Saccharomyces cerevisiae S288C: one gene and its partners. Changing the gene in region 1 together with any one later gene gives a genetic interaction. Each region holds a gene or a part of one and is shown in the gene's direction. Other genes may lie near its edges. The genes, in order: PEX12, NPR3, PSK2 and PEX13.

What was found.
Region 2: mutations in PEX12 (region 1) and NPR3 together harm fitness more than expected from each alone (negative genetic interaction), as found in Saccharomyces cerevisiae (3 studies listed by BioGRID).
Region 3: mutations in PEX12 (region 1) and PSK2 together harm fitness more than expected from each alone (negative genetic interaction), as found in Saccharomyces cerevisiae (3 studies listed by BioGRID).
Region 4: mutations in PEX12 (region 1) and PEX13 together harm fitness less than expected from each alone (positive genetic interaction), as found in Saccharomyces cerevisiae (4 studies listed by BioGRID).

Annotation. Positions count from the first base shown.
Region 1 is NC_001145.3:323,092-327,295, reverse strand, and holds PEX12 (ubiquitin-protein ligase peroxin 12), read left to right. Parts: upstream 1-1,860; coding exon 1,861-3,060; downstream 3,061-4,204. Other genes in the region: YMR027W (putative methyltransferase), read right to left, coding at 7-1,419; CSI1 (Csi1p), read right to left, coding at 3,109-3,996. UniProt on the Saccharomyces cerevisiae protein: Component of a retrotranslocation channel required for peroxisome organization by mediating export of the PEX5 receptor from peroxisomes to the cytosol, thereby promoting PEX5 recycling.
Region 2 is NC_001140.6:58,148-64,630, reverse strand, and holds NPR3 (Npr3p), read left to right. Parts: upstream 1-2,067; coding exon 2,068-5,508; downstream 5,509-6,483. Other genes in the region: AIM17 (Aim17p), read left to right, coding at 1-169; SPO11 (DNA topoisomerase (ATP-hydrolyzing)), read left to right, coding at 474-1,670; RIM4 (Rim4p), read right to left, coding at 5,841-6,483. UniProt on the Saccharomyces cerevisiae protein: Component of the SEA complex which coats the vacuolar membrane and is involved in intracellular trafficking, autophagy, response to nitrogen starvation, and amino acid biogenesis. Mediates inactivation of the TORC1 complex in response to amino acid starvation.
Region 3 is NC_001147.6:241,515-247,634, forward strand, and holds PSK2 (serine/threonine protein kinase PSK2), read left to right. Parts: upstream 1-1,982; coding exon 1,983-5,288; downstream 5,289-6,120. Other genes in the region: LDS2 (Lds2p), read right to left, coding at 100-927, 991-1,233; PEX15 (Pex15p), read left to right, coding at 5,636-6,120. UniProt on the Saccharomyces cerevisiae protein: Serine/threonine-protein kinase involved in the control of sugar metabolism and translation. Phosphorylates UGP1, which is required for normal glycogen and beta-(1,6)-glucan synthesis.
Region 4 is NC_001144.5:535,228-539,278, forward strand, and holds PEX13 (peroxin PEX13), read left to right. Parts: upstream 1-2,044; coding exon 2,045-3,205; downstream 3,206-4,051. Other genes in the region: MMR1 (Mmr1p), read left to right, coding at 1-1,462; HCR1 (translation initiation factor eIF3 core subunit j), read right to left, coding at 3,565-4,051. UniProt on the Saccharomyces cerevisiae protein: Component of the PEX13-PEX14 docking complex, a translocon channel that specifically mediates the import of peroxisomal cargo proteins bound to PEX5 or PEX21 receptors.

The DNA of each region.
Region 1 (4,204 bases):
ATATTCTTATTTATGTATACCAGAGCAGAAACAAATGACTGCCCATTTACCGCTACAACACCACCAAGAACCACGGCCAGGATTTTCCTTTTCCCATTCTTGACTTAATTTCGCGTCTAGACCTTCAGGTAAAGCAACTTGTACATCGGCTTTACAGGTTCTCAAGCTCAATGATGTAATACCATTCGTAGCAAGAGGTCCGATAGCCGTTTCCCATTTAGTGGTGCGGGGCCATTTTCTGTCGCCAGTTAATTTTCTATAGTTTAGATCACCCTTAAAAATAACCAAATTGGATTTTTGCAAATCTTTGTGCAAAATGGATCCATGGTATTTGGTTTCGTTTGCGTCCAAATTCCAATAATCTAATTCCGTGGTCCAGAAAGAATCTTCGCGGAATTCTATCTTACCGCTAGAGACGAACTTTTCCATTTCACCAGCAAATAAATCAAGAGCTCTGGATTCCTTTGTCGAGGGTTCACCACTTGGGAAGAACTCACGATCTCTCAGGTCATGAACTAATATATCAAAATCTTTTAACATAACATCGCTAACCATGTATGGAATGTCTTTAGCGTGGAAAATACATTTGGTAGCCAAACCACTTTGTAACAGAAAAGCTGCCAACATCAAGTCAGCATACAATTCAAAGCCAGAATTGTCTAATACAAAATCAACACGAATTTCTCTGCTATTGGCATCGGCCCTGGCTTTGGTTAATACCTCCCATGCTTTCTCCGTGTCATTAACAACAATCTTGGACTCGGATGCAGCTCTTGCTTTCGCCCCTTGGATTGATTTAATGTCTTCTAACGTAGCGTTGGTCAATAAAGATAAATCAGTGGCATTGCCCCACAAAGAAATCTCAATAAACTCTTTAAAAAGAACTTTCAATATATCGTCAATCTCATTTCCTGGATTTTGCTTCATTTCTCTCAGCTGTGGTAACAGATTTTCATACCTTAACGCCAATTCCACGACACCATAAAACGAGGACTCAAAAGTTGACTGTTTAAGTCTGTTGAATATGTCAAATTTAGCCCATTCGCATTGGCGTTGGAAAAGAACATTTACTCTTCTATACAAGTAAACCTCCGAGAACAGCCACTCTACAGCCCCCCAATTGACTTCAGGGTGTTTCTTTAGATATTCATTGAACGAAAGCGGGACGTTGGCAATTTTGATCTCTTCTTCAGTAAAGGGTCTCAAAGGTACACGATCAATTATCTCCTGACGGAATTCCTTGAGCTCCTTTTTGATAACTTCACCTTGTTCGAACTTAGTGCCGTTACTCTTCTCCGTTTCTTGATGCTTACTTAAATCGTCTATAGCATTCTGAATGATAATGGGCCAACGGGTGCTAGCAGTGTATTCACCAAAAGTGCCCTTATCAATTGTCATAAATCTTCCAGGGATAGTCATCTCTTGTTATGTACTACCCACTACCGTAATATCCTTTTTTTCCGTTTACACAAGGACCACAATGAACCACTAAATTTTAAAGAGTTCAAATGAAGTTTTATTCTTTTAATATGAAGGGAATAGTTGTATTTCTACTTCCGGGCAGTTATACTATCACGTTGCACCTGGGGCCTCTATGTCTGAGAGGTGTGTGGGTTATACTAAGAAATCATCGATGTGGACGATTACCGTCACTGGCAATGGTAACCTCCAATTCAGTCACTGGAGAAGAGAGGTACAATTTAGTGTGGAGTCATCCTTTCGTCTCATTCAGATGCTTAAGAGCAATGCTTACCGCAGAATCACATTAGGTAGAGAAACGGTTTTGCATGAAGGCTCCAGAAGAAGCAAGGGAATAAGCAGGGAAAATAAAGCAAAGGAAAGGAAGGTAGTCGTCAAGTGATGAGCTTTTATTCAAACCTACCGTCTGCAGGACAATCTAGTCGAGGGTCTTCAACAAGCGGTCGAAATGGGGTGGGATTAGAACCATTGTATCCGACTATCTTTGAGATAATGTCATCACAAGAAATCGATTCGTTACTGCCCGCATCCATCCGTTATCTACTGGCAAATCATTTAGTGGCGAACTTCCCTAACAGGTATACTTTGCGGCTGAACAAGTACTTTTTTGAGTGGTTTCAAGCGATAAAAGGGTTTGTTGAATGGTATCATCTAAAGACATACAATTCTACGTTTATTGATCGGTTTTATGGATTGCAACTATTTAGTTCGAGGGACAGAAATCTTGCCTTAACACAATGTTTAAATCCAAAGGGCCAGAGTGAATGGCCCCAAGGTTTGCAGCTGAATCAACAGCAAAAGAGTGTTATTTTTTTGGAAAAAATTATTCTCCCCTATATCACAGCGAAGTTGGATGAAATATTAGAGAAAATATCAATGAATAATATATTCAGCAGCGATGAAACTGAAAATAAATGGCCCAAGAGAGCGTTTCTAAGAATTTATCCATTTATTAAGAAATTATTAGCGTTATCCAATTTACTCGTTAAATTATTATTTTTAACTAAAAGAACAGGGTCGGTTTCCTTGTTGCAATACTTATTCAAGATAGAGTACACAACGGTAAGACCACTATCGTCAGAACTCTCTGGTCTCAAAGAGACGAAAGGGATGGATAATAGGCTAAGGAAAACAAATATATCGTCAATTTTCGCGCTAATGCAAGGACAATTATCGATTATACCCAGATTTTTAACATTTATGGGTTCGCAATTCTTCCCCACTTTTATATTTGTCCTAAGAGTGTACCAATGGTGGACCACACAAGACATGACTACTAAATTGCAGAAAAGGGTCAATGACTTGGATGAAGATATTCCAAGGCCGCCTTTCTCCTCACATAGTGACAAAACGGAAGATAAAGAGGGAGTTTCTGAGGCCTGTCCCGTTTGCGAAAAAACTGTACAAAACCCCTGTGTATTGGAAACAGGATACGTGGCATGCTACCCGTGTGCCATAAGCTATTTGGTTAATAATGAAGGCCATTGTCCCGTTACCAATAAAAAGCTGCTGGGTTGTACATACAACAAACACACGAATAAATGGGAAGTTGTGACAGGTATTAGGAAGCTACTAATCTGATGACGGAGGAAGTGAAGAAAATAATTCTGTGTAATATATATATTCTAGTTATTTTTTTAACATATTTGAAATTTCCCATTGTTTACACGAAATTTCTAATAATTTTATTTCATTAATTTTGTTATCCAGCAGGTAATTCATGTCACTTGTTCCACCTCTTTGCAGTTGTGTTACAAGCATTGATATTTTTCGAAGTATTACATCTTGCGTGGAAGAGAAAGGCTTGTCAGTGGCATCATAATTTTTCAAGAATATTATCATTCGATTAATCTTCTCGAGTAATTTTCTTATGGTATTATTATTATATTTTTGAATATTGATTTCTTTATCCTTCATGTCAATTAATTGAAACTCATCAAAACCTGGGTCTACGGTATTATTAGGTGTGGGAATTTGGTATCTGTCATTTACATCCTTAATTTGCACTTTATCTTGTAGAAAATCAAGGATAATTTCCGCGCCTATCTGTACACTATTTTCAATTTTATAACCCTTTAAACTATTGACAGCTTCTTGGAAGGAGGTATGTTGGCGAAACACGTTATATTTTATCAGATATTTCAATGCCAAGGCGGTCAATTGGGTGAGCACTTTCTCCGTCACTTTATTAGTGATATTTTCGTCCTCTTCTAACTGACATAAATCAAGAATACCCAGTATACAAATGTCCTTTTGAGTCACTTTTGTTAGGTTAATTCTCCTTTCTAGGCGTTCTTGATTTATTTTATCATTTTCCTGCATCGGGATTCGTATAACTTTTTCAATATACCATTGAGACTCTGCTTCATTACCATTTATTGGGATGTAAATTTCATCATCTTGATCCAATTTGCAACCTATCAATAAAAACCAAGAGTGGTCTATCGAGTCAAACGATGACTCGTGCAGGAAGTTAATTTCTGATATAGCTAGAGAACTGAATTTTAGGAGGTCCATTTACCCTATATTACTTTGCTTTGTGTTATTATCCCCTCACAAATGTGCGTTCTCTTTAAATATAGCAAGTCTTTTTTTTTTTTGTCTGTTTCCTGGTAAGATATAGTAGTAAACAAGGAACATGCTTCTGTTCACTTTTATATATTTTAGTACACATAAAGTAAACGCATATCGTACCAACGTGTATATATATATGTACAAGAATGTA
Region 2 (6,483 bases), on another chromosome or scaffold:
ATTGCAGTTGCCCGAAAACTGTTGTGTTATCTTTAACAACAGGAGAATTTTGCATGCTAACTCTTTAACAAGCTCAAACCAGCAATGGTTAAAGGGTTGCTATTTCGATTCTGATACTTTCAAGAGTAAATTAAAGTTCTTGGAAGAGAAGTTTCCTCATGACAAATAACTTCATTTTTTCAGCATAGTTATGTGATTCTTTATATTTATTTATTTTCTCTCTGTGTAGTGACAATTTTTTTTTTAATGTTTCATGTTAAATATATTTATTTTAAGAAGCCGTCAGTTTCCTTTTGTTTCATTGAAATCAATAACTAAAATTAAAATTATAAAAGGAATAACGTAAAAGAAAGTCTACTACCCAAGGAAAATCTACTTTATTTAGTGATTATATCCAACTAAATATCATTCAAATAACCTCACATATTTGTCTTCACCCTTAAGATTTTACGATTTACTAAGTTCACCTTCTCATGGCTTTGGAGGGATTGCGGAAAAAATATAAAACAAGGCAGGAATTGGTCAAAGCACTCACTCCTAAAAGACGGTCCATTCACTTGAACTCCAATGGTCACTCCAACGGAACTCCCTGTTCAAACGCAGATGTTTTGGCTCATATTAAGCATTTCCTGTCATTGGCGGCTAATTCATTAGAGCAACATCAACAGCCTATTTCAATCGTCTTTCAAAACAAAAAAAAAAAAGGCGATACAAGCAGTCCTGACATTCACACAACATTGGACTTCCCTTTGAATGGCCCGCATCTATGCACTCATCAGTTCAAGTTGAAAAGATGCGCAATCCTTTTAAACTTATTGAAAGTCGTTATGGAAAAATTACCGCTAGGTAAAAACACTACAGTGAGAGATATCTTCTACTCCAACGTGGAATTGTTTCAAAGACAAGCAAACGTAGTCCAGTGGCTGGACGTTATACGCTTTAATTTCAAGCTCTCTCCAAGAAAATCCTTAAACATTATACCAGCTCAAAAGGGTTTAGTTTATTCGCCTTTCCCCATTGATATTTATGACAATATTCTGACATGTGAAAATGAACCAAAGATGCAAAAGCAAACAATTTTCCCTGGTAAGCCCTGTCTAATTCCATTTTTCCAAGATGATGCGGTCATCAAGTTAGGGACAACAAGTATGTGTAATATTGTAATAGTGGAAAAAGAAGCTGTCTTCACCAAATTAGTAAATAATTATCACAAGTTGAGTACAAATACCATGCTCATTACAGGTAAGGGATTTCCAGATTTCTTGACAAGGTTATTCCTAAAAAAACTAGAACAATATTGCTCCAAATTGATATCGGACTGTTCTATATTTACCGATGCGGACCCCTATGGGATTAGCATAGCCCTAAATTATACTCACTCGAATGAACGCAACGCTTATATTTGCACGATGGCAAACTATAAAGGAATTCGTATTACGCAAGTTTTGGCACAAAATAATGAAGTGCATAACAAATCCATTCAATTATTGAGTTTGAATCAGCGCGACTACTCCTTAGCCAAGAATTTGATAGCATCTCTGACTGCCAACAGCTGGGATATTGCAACTTCACCATTAAAGAACGTCATCATAGAATGTCAGCGGGAAATTTTTTTCCAAAAGAAAGCTGAAATGAACGAGATTGATGCCAGAATTTTTGAATACAAATGAATAAGAATGGGAGCTGTTGCTTTATAAAAAATGTTTTTCAAGAATTGAAAACGGTTACATTTAAATATTATATAAATTGAAATCTTTGATAATGAATACTAGTCCAAAAAAAAATACAATTTCAAAAAAATAAATGCCATCTCCTAGAATCGAACCAGGGTTTCATCGGCCACAACGATGTGTACTAACCACTATACTAAGATGGCATATGATTTTACAATGATTCGATGGTGAATGAGTTATAAGCCATGTAAGGATCACTAGTCTTTTTTCTTAAGTAACTTTTTCGCTTGTGATATCTTGAAATACCATTAAACATAGATAAGCTATTGAAATGTGAAGAAAATTCAAAAAAAAAAGGGAACAGAGTCATCTTTTGGGTAGAAACTAAGCTTCAATGGATGAATGTTTACCCAATTCATGTCTACTAGGTGTTCACCTCGTCATTTCAACGCATTCGGGGCCACAAATAGTTTATCACTACCCACCCTCCAATACAGCATTTCTAACAAATAATCCAACGAAGCATCAGCACCTCTATGGAAACCATGCAAATCTAAATAAAAACACAAGTACAAATAAAGAAGAAAAACTCTTTAATTCTGGCTCTACGAAAACAGCTTCTCAAATTGCTCTAAACGAGTCAGCGAAAAGTTACAATACCGCTATTACGCCATCAATGACAAATACTAATACTAATAATGTGACATTACCTCCAACTAGATCGCATGCTAATACTGTAGGATCACAAAGTTCAATTCCTGCGGCTACTAATGGTGTAGGTTATAGAAAAACCGATATCGAAGATACTTCTCGGACTTTTCAATACCAAGAAACTGAATCTGAAACGTCATCATCGGGATTAAGTGACAGCGAATTGTCCACAGACTACTTAGACATTTCTAGCGATTCGTTTTCTATATCTTCTTCCTTATCGTCATCTTCTTTATCTTCTTCTCCCTCAAGTTCATCCTCATCTTCCCCTCCGCAAGATGGCTTATCAAGAACTAATTCGAGTTTCCAATCTACGGATTCAATGTCTCCAACTTCACCACAAATGATAATGGAAAACGATAGTATTTCAGTAGCGGAATCATATCTAGATTCTGGGACTAATAACAAATCAAGGGCCGCTTCCAAGAGATCCCAGAATTTCTTCCATAAATTGAGTACCAAGAAGAGTACTGATTCAAAAACACATTCTCCAGTAAGAAAGCTTAAATCTAAGCCATCACAAAGCACTAAAAAAGGCAACAAACTGTTAAAAAATACGTCCAATGAGACTGATGGAAATGCTTTTACAGGAAGTTGTTCAATTTCTTCTAAAAAATCTTTATCGAGTACAGGAGAGCATAACCAAGAACTTCGTAATAGTAGCCTGAACGACACTCCTGGCCAATCACCTCATCATTACCACCATCGTTACCACCATTATCATAAAAATGCCGCGACGAGCCAACGAAATTCCCATACCCAGTACGATGTTGAAGAAGAAGACATGGAAGTTTCGGCAATGTTGCAGGATGGTAAAATCTCTATGAATGAAATTTTTTTTGAAGAGGAAAACTTCCAGGATATAAATAAAATTCTAGAATTTGATAATGATTTTGTTGCAGAATTTTGTAGCCCTGAGAGGGAAATGTGCAATACCAGATTCGAATTCACGGTGGATAATTTCTGCTTCTTAGGCTTACCTATTCATGTAGATTCTCAAGGCAGATGGAGAAAATCCAAGCACAAAAATAAAACCCGCTCTAAAAGATCTTCGAGTACTACAACAAACATCAGTAGAAAGAAATCTATCGCTTCCAAAATTTCATCACTGAGTGAGAATACTTTGAAGAAAGTTAATAGTGGTGAAGCTGACACTGTTTATGACAGTAATATTGGTCATGAGGCTTCTACTGATACGCCGAATTTGAGGATAAATACTGATGTCAGTGGAAACGAATTTGAGAGAGAAAAGGAAGACTTGGGCAAAAATATGAACATGTTTCATGTATGCTTTGTTATGAATCCGCATTTAATCGAATATAATAAAAGGATTGATGACATGTATCAGTTTGTTGTTACAAGGTTATCATTATTGTTAAGATATGTGCAATCAAAAACCTCGTACATTTCTAGCGAATGCCATATAATTTTAAAGGAAAAAGAACGGGTACTGAAACATTCGAAAACATACCAATCTATAAGAGGCGCAGGAAACAAGGGGAAGTATCTGTACCAAAGAATTTTAGCCAAATCTTCGTTGGCTAGGGCGCTAACGGAATGTGTTGATAAAATCCAACGAAATGAAATCGCATGTCTTGAGATCAATGACGATAAAGTAATTTCCTTGCAAATCCCGATTCAAAACGAGTTTGAAAAAATGCCAAACTTCAAACTGCAACCCGTGCTAAGAGGCTCATATTTGACGTCCATTTTGAACATGAAATTTTTAGAAAAATCATCATTGAGAATTGAAAGTCAAAATCGTCAAAACGATCAGGCTCAATTCAGTGATACCAATAATAACATATACAGGTTTGGCAATAATATTAATAGTACCGGCCACTGTGGAGCAGCAAATGTGGATGACGGGGACGACAATGAAAGCAATTACTACTGCGACGACAATGATGACCTTTTAAACTATGCGCTATTATTATTGGACGAGCCAAATAATATTATTAGCTCCCTCGAAACTTTTTCATACCAGGACGATATTGGCACTATCATATTGAAACATTTAGTCAGAAATATCCAGCCAAATATCCCTCTAAGGTCGTATCGCTATCTGATAACTGATTTATTAGATAACCCTTCTTCACTGGACGACCTTACTACAGAAACAAACTCATTGGAATCAAGCATACTGCGCTCTTGCGCATTGCATTTAATGTATTGGAGACATGCAAGAATAGTGATCCCACTAAGCTCCAAATACACGTATATTGTTTCACCCTTGGCTCCTATTCAAGGTTATACAATAGATGATTATAAAAGTACTTCACAAAATGATGGGAACGTGAAAAAAATGGACGATCGCGAAAATAATAAGAGTGGAAGCGACAGAGTACCACTAATTTATCAAAATTCGATGTTGTTCAGATCCAAATTCCCATCATTGCCCAGTTTACCCATTTTTTTAAGTTTGTTGTCCACGGACAAACCTCAAGCGTACAGTAACATAATCCCATCAAGGGAACATAAGCCAGTTTACCTGAACGCGTTAGCGTGGTTAATACAGTACGGGTATGTAACCCAATTATTGACTTTCATAAATATCCGAGTGGACAAACACATAAAAATGGCAGTAGATGAGGATCTAGAAAAGGAAGGCTTCCGTAAGACTAATACTGCTAGAAGGCCCAGCATGGACTACAAAAAAACTGATAAAAAGCTGGATGATGAAGATGGGCAAAGTAGAGATGCAAACGCCAGCGAAGCGTGTTCAGGAAAGAATGAAGGCATGCAGTCCAACGACAACAACAAAGATGTGGACGAAAAAGATAACGAAAATGATAGTCGTGTTGATGATCGTGATGACAATGAAATAGCTATTGCGGATGAAGAAGAAATACTACACTTCGAATACGATGATCCAGAAATGCAACATGACTATACTATAATTTTGGAACCTGAAAGAGCCACTGCGATTGAAAAAAGATGGCTTTATAGATGTATTTATGGTCAGCCTTCAGATATCCAGATTCTTTTTAACAAGTTGCTCAAGTACTTCAATGGAAAGGTCCCCATGGAATTGGTTATCATCAAAGAGGAAATTAGCAGACATGACCTAAAGAAATTGCTCAATGCTCTAGATAAGTATTTAATCGAGATACACCATTGGTAAATCTCTCTATTGTAACAAAATGTAAGTAAAAAAAAAAAAATCTACCAAAAATTAAAATATGTGTATATAAGAATAGACAAAAGGAAGAATATATAAAAGGAAAAAAACATTTCGAGTGACTTGTAATCAAAACTCGAAAGTATGTATTGTTATATTAGGAGACAAAGAAGGTAAAAGAAGGAAAGAAGGATGAAAACAATACCAAGTGAAAAAAAAAAAAAAGATCCAGAGAAAAAAATAGGGAGACGAAAAAGAAAACGAAACTGCACTTTTAAAGTTAACATCACCGCTGAATTACATACATCTTTTGCAGCTTTTACGACCAATCATTTTTAGTAATCTAAACTATAAGCTTTGTTATCTTCATTTATGTCACCAGTATCGTTTGATATGAATTCGTTCGCATGAACATGGGTACTGCCATGATTAGCAGCATGTGATTGGCTTACATTTATTGGAGGAGGGATCATGCTTCCATCTAACCCAGAAGGCGGAGGTGGTGACATGGGATAAACCATCATATATGGATGGTGATTTCCAGCAGAACCTTGAGAAGGATGCAATGGGCCCATTGGGCCCATATGGTATTGCATGGGGTGATAGTAATAAGGCTGGAAATAGTATGGTTTTGGAGGTACTTCATTGTATCCGTAGCTTGACCTCCTTGCATAGCGCTTTTTATATTGAGACTTATTACTGTTACTGTTGTTGTTGTTGTTGTTGTTGTTAGAGTTTCCTGCTGAGGAATTATTATATGTGGTAAAGGAATTAGCAGCATTATATCTACCAGATGATTCAGGAATTTCGGAAGGCAATTCGGAATTCTCATCACCACCATTAACACTTTCATTTTCAGAGTTCACACTCTTTGAAGAAGGGGATGACCAAGAATTGGGCATAGATTTACGCCTCAATGGCATCATTCCCTTCATAAACGTGGAGTAACTTGGGGGGAACATATCAAAATCACTGAGA
Region 3 (6,120 bases), on another chromosome or scaffold:
ATTATTAGCAAGTAATATATAGTATATAGTATATATATATATTTATATATGTAAACATATAATGAATATATAAATTGGTATGTAAAAGAGTTGCGAGCTTCATGGCGGATTAATGTGAGCTATAGATTGTTGGATTGGAGGTGCATAGGATCCTACAGTAGGCTCTTCTGGTTCCGCAGGAGGGGAAGGAGGTACGGCTGGCTGGTCCCGGTCTTTTATCTCTTTAACTATCCAAAGCGAAGCACCTACTGCGTTTGTTCCAATGAACAACCCACCCAGAATGGGAATAGACTCTAATAAACCGCTGGATATCGAGTAAAGGAGCCACTTGGCAAAGCCCTTGTAGTAAACTTTGGAAAGTTTGCGCGAATCCAAATGTAGCACGTCAACAAAATAAGGCTCAAAATAGTAAAATCCCATTCCGGGGCTAAATGGTAGCATATTGATTGTAATTGGACCCACTATTGGAACGAGCAACAATAAAAGAAACATAAAGGCTATGAAGATGTACCAGAAGAAAAAAATGAAAAACTGCGGCAAAGAGACGAGGTAAAACCGTTTCGAAAAGAGGCCACCCAAACGATGTGACCTTCTGTAGACAAAGGGCGTGAAACTTATCGTTTCACAGGCTTCACTCAACTCTGTTAATCCCTTTCTTGCGAACGTCACTCCATAAATACGTGTGAAAAGAACGAAATCGGTACCCTTCACCATAGAATTACATAGCGTTGTGGAAATCAGAATAGTTTGCATATAAGCCAGAGGTAACGCAAAGAGTCCGAGAAAGGGCAAATAGATGCACACTAACAAGGACCACGCAAGGATTGACGTAAACGCAACAATAAGCAGGAGATTCAGCAGGTAGTATCCAAATATTAGGAAAAATAGATGCAAATAATCCGAGTTTCCCACGGATTCGCTAATTCCCTTCAAAGGCGGTTAGTATGACGGCTTAAAAAACATGATCTGCTTATTGGAACATCAACATACTTTATACGGATACCAGATGATCTGGTGCGACGACTCTAGGTCTTTCCAAAAATTGTCTTTAACAAGCATAGCATTCTTGTACCATCGAACTATCGGAGCCTTGTATGCCATCCAAATTTTTGATTTCTTATGGTTCCCTTGGTCTTGGATGGGGAGTAATTGTGGTTCCTCCCCTTCTGCCAGTGGCGTAGAGGCATATGGATGTCTATGGTAATACCAATCAGGTTGGGGTCTAGTCGACATGTTTGCTTGGTGTCTTAGCAGCTCTTATAGTTCTAATGCTATAACTAAGAAAGTAATAATAATAATAATAAAAAGCTTTATATAATGTTTTATTATGGAAGTTTCGTTTTTGTGGCGCGACGCGATCAGCCAAAATCAGCGGAAAAATTCGTCGGAACATTTTTTTCTTTTTTGGCCAAGCTATTGTTACAGGTGGGGCAGGGGCAAGAGACGATATGTCATCGCGAAGCTGTAAAGACACTTGTCGAAGTGATAAAGCGCAAGAGCTGTTTGTCTACGGAACCAGCAAGTACTATCTAATAGCGTGTTCCAGAGAATAACAGCATTTTTCAACTTCTTTCTCCTGGTGTGAGTAATCAGTACGTGAAAAGAGAACGAAGTTAAAAAAAAAAACAAGAAAAAGAAACAAGATCAAAAGAAACGATAAAGGCTGGCTTATAAAATAATAGCATCGCGAACGATCAATAAGGGGCCCTGTTTATTTTTAACAAAGTTTACATATTTCGTTTTCCTCTTTAAGCTGACATCACGTCTATACCCTGTTTTATTCCTTGTTAGAAACATAACGGAGCAGGTAGTAACAACAACAGTATAAACTATCATAAACTTTTTTCCTTCCTTATTGGTGACTTTTAACACTTAGAATTCTAAGTCTGGCAAGAACAGTAATCATACTTCTTTGCAGGGCGTTTTATTGTTACTCCTCTGCCCTGCTAGATTAAAGTAAAGAATCATAAACAAAGAACACAATGACATACCCGGTTAGTGCAGCCGCTCCTGCCGACATTTCATATTCTAAAAATACCCCGTTGGTAGGGCTCTCTAAACCTCCATGCTTGTACCAACACGCTTCCTCGTCCGTCGATTCGTTTTCGTCAACATTCAGTGATGATGATCGTTCGGACCTTGTTGCTGTACCTAATGAGTCGCCGCATGCATTTTCGTATAATCCCATATCACCAAACTCACTGGGAGTAAGGTTGACCATCTTAAGAAGGTCTTTGGAAATAATGGTAAACAGTCCTGACATCTTACATGAGTTGAAGAAAAAAGCACCCGTAATAGCATACCCCCCCTCACTTAGACACACAAGAAACTTAACAGAGACTGCCACGTTATCAGCATCGCGAGATCCGTTAAATGGGTCTCTAATTTCACCATTAGTATCCAATATGCCATCTCCTGCTAGTAGACCCGTGATACAGAGAGCAACGTCCTTAATGGTGTTGCCTGATAATGATACTGCCAGTAAACTGAATCCAGCCAAGTCCGAGTTAGAAAACTTGTTATTCTTGCTAAATTTAGCATTGGAAAACAATTCCTTCGAAAGAGCTTCCGATTTACACATGCTATCGTTATTGAATATCAAGAAAATAAACTTTGATTCAGACATTCAAAAATCAGAAACTTTGAAAAAGGTTTTATTAGATAGTTTAGCAGAACCATTTTTTGAAAACTACAAGAAGTTCCCTCACAAAGATTTAGGTTCGAAATCGCAATATAATGAATATGAGGAGAAACACGATGATATAGTCTCCTTAGCAGACATCAAACCACAACAGGACTATAGCCGAATTCTTCATCCTTTCACATCTGCAAAAAATTCTGGTCCAGAGGCCATTTTTACATGTTCTCAACAATACCCCTGGAACTTCAAAGCTGCCAATGATTTGGCGTGTCTAACGTTCGGTATATCAAAGAATGTTATCAAGGCACTTACTTTACTAGACCTTATTCATACGGATAGCAGAAATTTTGTTCTAGAGAAAATCATGAATGCAGAAGATGATAACCAAGAAATTGTGTTTACCGGAGAAACTATACCTATCGTCCAGCCAAATTCGACAAGCAATAATAATGTACCAAATCTGATTTGGGCTTCACTATGGGCCAAGCGGAAGAATGGCCTACTGGTCTGCGTATTTGAAAAAACGCCTTGCGATTACATTGACGTCATGTTAAACTTGAGAGATTTTTCAGTGGACAGCATTATTGATACAACACACTTTCTGGAAAACTTTGACAAGAAAAAGCAGCAAGAATCAACTTCGCCAATGACAGAAAAGAAAACGGTAAAATTTGCAAATGAAATTCACGATATTGGGTCAGTAAGTCACTCACTGAGTAAACTAATTGATGATGTACGTTTTGGAAAAGTGTTTTCTGCAGATGATGATTTATTACCCTTGTCTATCAGGGTGGCAAATCATGTCAACGAAGAGAGATATTTTACGTTGAATTGTCTATCTGAAAATATACCATGTGCTGTTACAACTTCCGTATTGGAAAACGAAATAAAATTAAAAATTCATAGTTTGCCCTATCAGGCTGGGCTATTTATTGTTGACAGTCACACTTTAAGTCTTTTAAGTTTCAACAAATCAGTCGCCAAAAACATGTTTGGCTTGCGACTTCACGAGTTGGCCGGTAGTTCGGTTACTAAGTTGGTTCCTTCTTTGGCGGACATGATATCTTATATCAATAAAACTTATCCTATGTTAAATATCACATTACCAGAAAATAAAGGATTGGTTTTAACAGAACATTTTTTCAGAAAAATTGAGGCTGAAATGCATCATGATAAGGACTCGTTTTACACTTCTATTGGTCTAGACGGCTGTCACAAAGATGGTAATTTGATAAAGGTGGATGTTCAATTACGGGTCTTGAATACGAATGCTGTATTATTATGGATTACACACTCAAGAGACGTGGTCATTGAAAATTATACCACCGTTCCTTCGCAGCTACCGATGTTAAAGGAGAACGAAATTGATGTCGTTGGCAGTAGAGGTAGTTCCAGTGCATCTTCCAAGAAATCTTCGGAAAAAATTCCTGTGAATACTTTGAAGGCAATGGCTGATCTGTCGATTAGCTCCGCTGAAACGATTTCTAATTCAGACGATGAAGTAGACTTAAATCAAGTGAATGAAAAACTACGAGAAACTTCTTGCGGTAAAGTGAGAGGTATCGAATCTAATGACAACAATAACTATGACGATGACATGACAATGGTTGATGATCCTGAGTTAAAACATAAAATTGAATTAACGAAAATGTACACGCAGGACAAATCAAAATTTGTAAAGGACGACAACTTTAAAGTGGATGAAAAATTTATAATGAGGATAATTGAACCGATAAACGGAGAAGAAATCAAAAAGGAAACAAATGAGCTAGACAAAAGAAATTCTACTTTAAAAGCTACGTACTTGACTACTCCAGAGGCTAATATAGGCTCACAAAAGCGCATAAAGAAATTTTCTGATTTTACTATTCTGCAAGTGATGGGTGAGGGTGCGTACGGTAAAGTCAATTTATGCATTCATAACAGAGAACACTATATCGTGGTCATCAAAATGATTTTCAAAGAGAGGATTTTAGTAGACACATGGGTGAGAGATAGAAAATTAGGTACTATACCTTCTGAGATCCAAATTATGGCGACCTTGAATAAAAATTCCCAAGAAAATATCTTGAAGTTATTAGATTTTTTTGAAGATGACGATTATTATTACATTGAAACACCGGTCCATGGAGAAACTGGTAGTATTGATCTATTTGATGTTATCGAATTCAAAAAAGATATGGTTGAACATGAAGCTAAACTGGTGTTTAAACAGGTAGTCGCTAGTATAAAGCATTTACATGACCAAGGAATTGTTCATAGAGACATAAAGGACGAAAATGTTATTGTTGATTCTCATGGCTTTGTAAAATTAATCGATTTCGGTTCGGCTGCCTATATCAAGAGTGGACCATTCGATGTTTTTGTGGGAACAATGGACTATGCTGCACCTGAAGTCCTTGGTGGTTCCTCTTACAAAGGTAAACCACAAGATATTTGGGCTCTTGGTGTGCTACTTTATACCATAATTTATAAAGAGAATCCTTATTACAACATTGATGAAATCTTGGAAGGTGAATTAAGGTTCGATAAATCGGAACATGTCAGTGAAGAATGCATCAGTTTGATAAAAAGAATTTTGACAAGAGAAGTTGATAAAAGACCTACTATTGATGAAATATATGAAGATAAATGGCTTAAAATCTAGTTTTCCGTACTCTCCAAGATAAAGGGAAAGAATAATTTAATCCATTTTCATAACCATTTACCTTCATAAATGTTCTATTCTTTTTTTGGCTATATATTAATTACATTTTTAATATCATATCATTGCTCTATATCCTTCTTGTCCAGCCTCTATGCAGTATTTTCTTTCATTCTATTTTGGGGCAAACTTCTGCGCTGAGCGGCTTATCGCCGTCGGAGTGACATCAAGTACCATAGAAAAGTCATCGTAGACTTACATATTTAGGCAAGAGAAATAGTTAGGTAAACAGAAAGAGGCACTAGCAGAACGTACTACGGTGTGGTTTATACAAGAGGGTTCTGTGAATAATGGCTGCAAGTGAGATAATGAACAATCTGCCTATGCATTCCCTCGATTCTTCTCTAAGGGATTTACTTAACGATGACTTATTCATTGAAAGTGATGAATCGACCAAGTCGGTAAATGATCAGAGGAGTGAAGTATTTCAAGAATGTGTGAACCTTTTCATAAAAAGAGATATCAAGGATTGCCTAGAAAAAATGTCTGAGGTTGGATTTATTGATATTACCGTTTTCAAGTCCAACCCTATGATATTAGATTTATTTGTCAGCGCCTGTGATATTATGCCCAGCTTTACCAAATTAGGTTTAACACTGCAGAGTGAGATTTTGAATATTTTCACGTTAGATACCCCTCAATGTATTGAGACAAGAAAAATTATTCTCGGTGACCTCAGTAAACTTTTGGTCATCAATAAATTCTTTCGATGCTGTATCAAGGTTATTCAGTTTAACTTAACTGATCACACCGAACAAGAAGAAAAAACTCTGGA
Region 4 (4,051 bases), on another chromosome or scaffold:
AATGAAATCGGAACAACTTACTCCAAAACTCTCACCAATGTCCTTTTGTTTGGATGACCAAAGAAATGCAGGCTCTTTTCAAAATCTATTGAACTCACCTACGAAGCTAAAATTAGACACTGGCCCGATTGGTAATTCCTTGTTATATCCAACATCACTCTCTAAATTGAGCGAGTTATCAAGAGGTGGACGTTCTAAACAAAGAAGGGGCTCTGACACTATGAGGTCTGTATCGCCTATTAGGTTTCAGTTTTTGAACAACACTCCAAAGATGTTAAAACCCGAGTACCTATCTCAAACAACCAGTAATCTGCCATTGCTATCTGCCCTATTGAAGAATAGCAAGAAAACTACTAGTGAAGGCCAGAATTCAAACCCTGATCCATTGAACATAGAGAAAAACATCATTAAACAAAGCATCAAGGACAAACTAGAGCAGCTGCGCAGTTCAGAATCCGTTGCGCAAGTACAAAAGAAAGAACGCAATCCCCCTTCATTTGAGGCCAAAGTCTGTGCGGAAGAACCGATATTACGGAAAAACGCCGAAGGGTTGCTCCCCTCATACGTTCCTGTTCCTGCTACTCCTTTGGAAGATCCAGAAAATCATGGGGTGCGAAAGGTCGAGGACAAAGGACTTAGAGTCGTCTCCGGCGGCTCCACTCAGTGTCTAAGCACCGAAGTGAACGAATTGCCTAAGGATCTGAATCTAGACAATTTACCTACGGATAATAACGGGTTCGTTCAATATGGTCTCAAAGGCAATAACAACAACAACAGATATAGCTTTATCTCGTCTACGTCGACGGACTATGAGCCCGAATGGTGTGACGGACAACAACATATTTCAATGCAAATGGCCTCTATGGCCAATGCAGAGGAGGCAAATAGTCGTGAAAAATCGAATTTAGACATAAAGATCAAGCAGCTAGAACTTGAAATTACAGAATTAAAGTTGCAGAATGAAAAATTAGTGCATTCCATGACGACGAACAGATACATTGAAGAAAGATTTATGCTTGAGGTTATGAAGGATCCTAGTATACAGGCTCAAAGATCCCAAAGAGATATTGAGAGAAAAGTCAAGCAACTGGAGAAAAAATTCTTCAATTGTAAAAAAGTTCTTAAGAAATTGACTGAATCCTCCGCAGTAGTGGCCACCTCCACTTCAAAAACTGAAGGAAATTCAGCAAGAATCCCATGCCCTAAGACTAGACTGGCACGCGTTTCTGTTTTAGACCTAAAGAAAATTGAAGAACAGCCAGATTCTTCTTCGGGAACTTCGTCCGAGGAAGATCATCTAACAAACGATGATACGGATGCTAATACTAGCGAAGATTTAAATGTTGCTTTTGAAGAGGAGCCAACTTCTGCTATTTCCACAACAGCATCTGTGCAGAGTGGGGAAAGTAAAAGAGGTTTCCAACTTAACCTTCCTGTCCAAGTGGAGAAGAAGGAAAAATGAAGCGTCAACTTCAAATTAAATTAACTTATTTTACACAAACATTCACAATACATCAATGCTGATAGGCGCTTTGTATTGTAGGCTATCGAGTTACGCATCTGCAATGTGCGTGATTTCTCCGTTATCCATCCTTCTCATTGGACAATTTTTATTTGAATATTACTGAACTTCAAAGGGCTTGTCGTGTGATTTAATCTTTTTTCTTACAACGTCGAATGCTGCAGCTATTTATTCATAGTGTCGTCTAAGCAAATACCCCGCTTTTAAAAGCTGAATAGAAAATCCAATCACGGTGTGACTGGTATCACAAACACATAATTTATATATTGCATTCAAGTTTATTCAACCTATACTTAAATACATTAATTACCAAAAAAAATGATATAATAAAGTCTTCTTTTATCTGATTAATGACACCTTTTTCAGCGGGCCAAATTTTTTTTATTTCCGAAGCCCGCCGGACTAATATTAATTATATCAGATAGTTGGTGAGCAAACGCATGTGGAAATGAACAACAATTTCGAAAGTGCATATACTATCTATAAATATCAAGGGGATTCTATACTATAACAATACCTGCGATGTCATCCACAGCAGTACCACGACCTAAACCTTGGGAGACCAGTGCTTCGTTAGAGGAGCCACAGCGTAATGCTCAGTCTTTAAGTGCGATGATGACCTCGAATCAGCAGGATTCCAGGCCAACTGAAGAAAGCAATAACAGTAATAGTGCAAGTGAGTCTGCTCCCGAAGTTTTGCCGCGGCCTGCGGCACTTAACTCCTCTGGTACCTACGGCGAATCGAATACAATACCGGGAATATACGGTAATAGCAATTATGGGATACCCTATGATAATAATCCGTATAGTATGAACTCTATATACGGAAACAGCATAGGGAGGTATGGCTATGGAGGATCGTACTATGGCAACAATTATGGATCGTTTTATGGAGGAGGGTACGGTGCAGGAGCGGGATATGGAATGAATAATGGAAGTGGACTAGGTGAGTCGACGAAGGCCACCTTTCAGTTAATAGAAAGTTTGATAGGCGCTGTTACTGGATTTGCACAAATGCTGGAATCTACTTATATGGCCACACACAACTCGTTTTTCACCATGATATCCGTCGCAGAACAGTTTGGTAATTTGAAGGAAATGCTAGGTTCATTTTTTGGTATCTTTGCTATAATGAAGTTTCTTAAAAAAATACTCTATCGTGCTACTAAGGGGAGACTAGGAATACCACCAAAGAATTTCGCAGAATCTGAAGGAAGCAAAAATAAACTAATTGAAGATTTTCAAAAGTTTAATGATAGTGGTACCATAAATTCTAATGAGAAAGCCACAAGAAGGAAAATTTCATGGAAACCGCTACTATTTTTTTTGATGGCAGTATTTGGTTTTCCATATCTACTAAACAAATTTATTACTAAACTACAGACCTCTGGAACCATACGAGCATCGCAAGGAAATGGTAGCGAGCCTATTGATCCTTCGAAGTTAGAATTTGCAAGAGCGTTATATGATTTTGTTCCAGAAAACCCAGAGATGGAAGTTGCTTTAAAAAAGGGCGACTTGATGGCAATTTTGAGTAAGAAAGACCCTCTTGGGAGGGATTCTGACTGGTGGAAAGTGAGGACAAAGAACGGCAATATTGGCTACATTCCGTATAACTATATTGAGATCATAAAAAGACGGAAGAAAATTGAGCATGTTGATGATGAAACGCGTACACACTAGTGCATCAATATTTGCACACATATATTCGCATATATATATAGTAAAATCTAAAGTAATGTAAATATTCCAGGGAGAATCAGCAGAAACGAGACGAAGTACTTCTTAACAAAAAGCCAGATAACGGTGCAAAAACACATTATATTCTCCATCTTGAAAACACAATCTCCTACGTACACATATGCGTATTTATTTTTATATGAATGAAACGCCTATGGATATATATATGGGAATATAGACATTCACAATTTCAGGACAATTGTGATATGGCAATATCCAAGGCCTGCGGTGCTGGGCTTCGCTTTTTTTCACCAACAAAATGAGATGGACAAGTTTATCATAGCAAAGAAACAATAAGCAGATTACATAAAGTCGTCATCACCGAATTCAAAATCGTCGGGGCCATCTAGGTCGAAATCTTGATCTTTCTTAAATGCGCCACCCAAATTGGTCTTACCTTTGACTTTCTTCTTACCAGCACCCCCAGTAGCAGTACCACCTCTAACACGGGCCAGACGAGCTTGCCTCTCCTCTCTTTCCTTATCTTTGATCAAAACGTTCAAAGTAGCAACTGTTTGTCTTATAGATTCGATGGACATTGGTTTTGCTACATCTCTAATCAAATCAATCGCTAACGATGAGGAGTAGTTCAGCGGAGATTTTTTGTTCATTGGTGTAATAGCAGCAGTAAGAGCCTTTCTTAAATCCTGGTACTCTCTCTTTGTTTCGGCGTTAAACAAAGGATGTGTTTCGATAGGTGTGTCCTTGGTAAAGGCGGGTCTTTTTAGAGCTTGTTCCTCTTGTTCCTTTTGTAAAGCACGAGCCCTTGGATGTTCTTCGGCAACACCT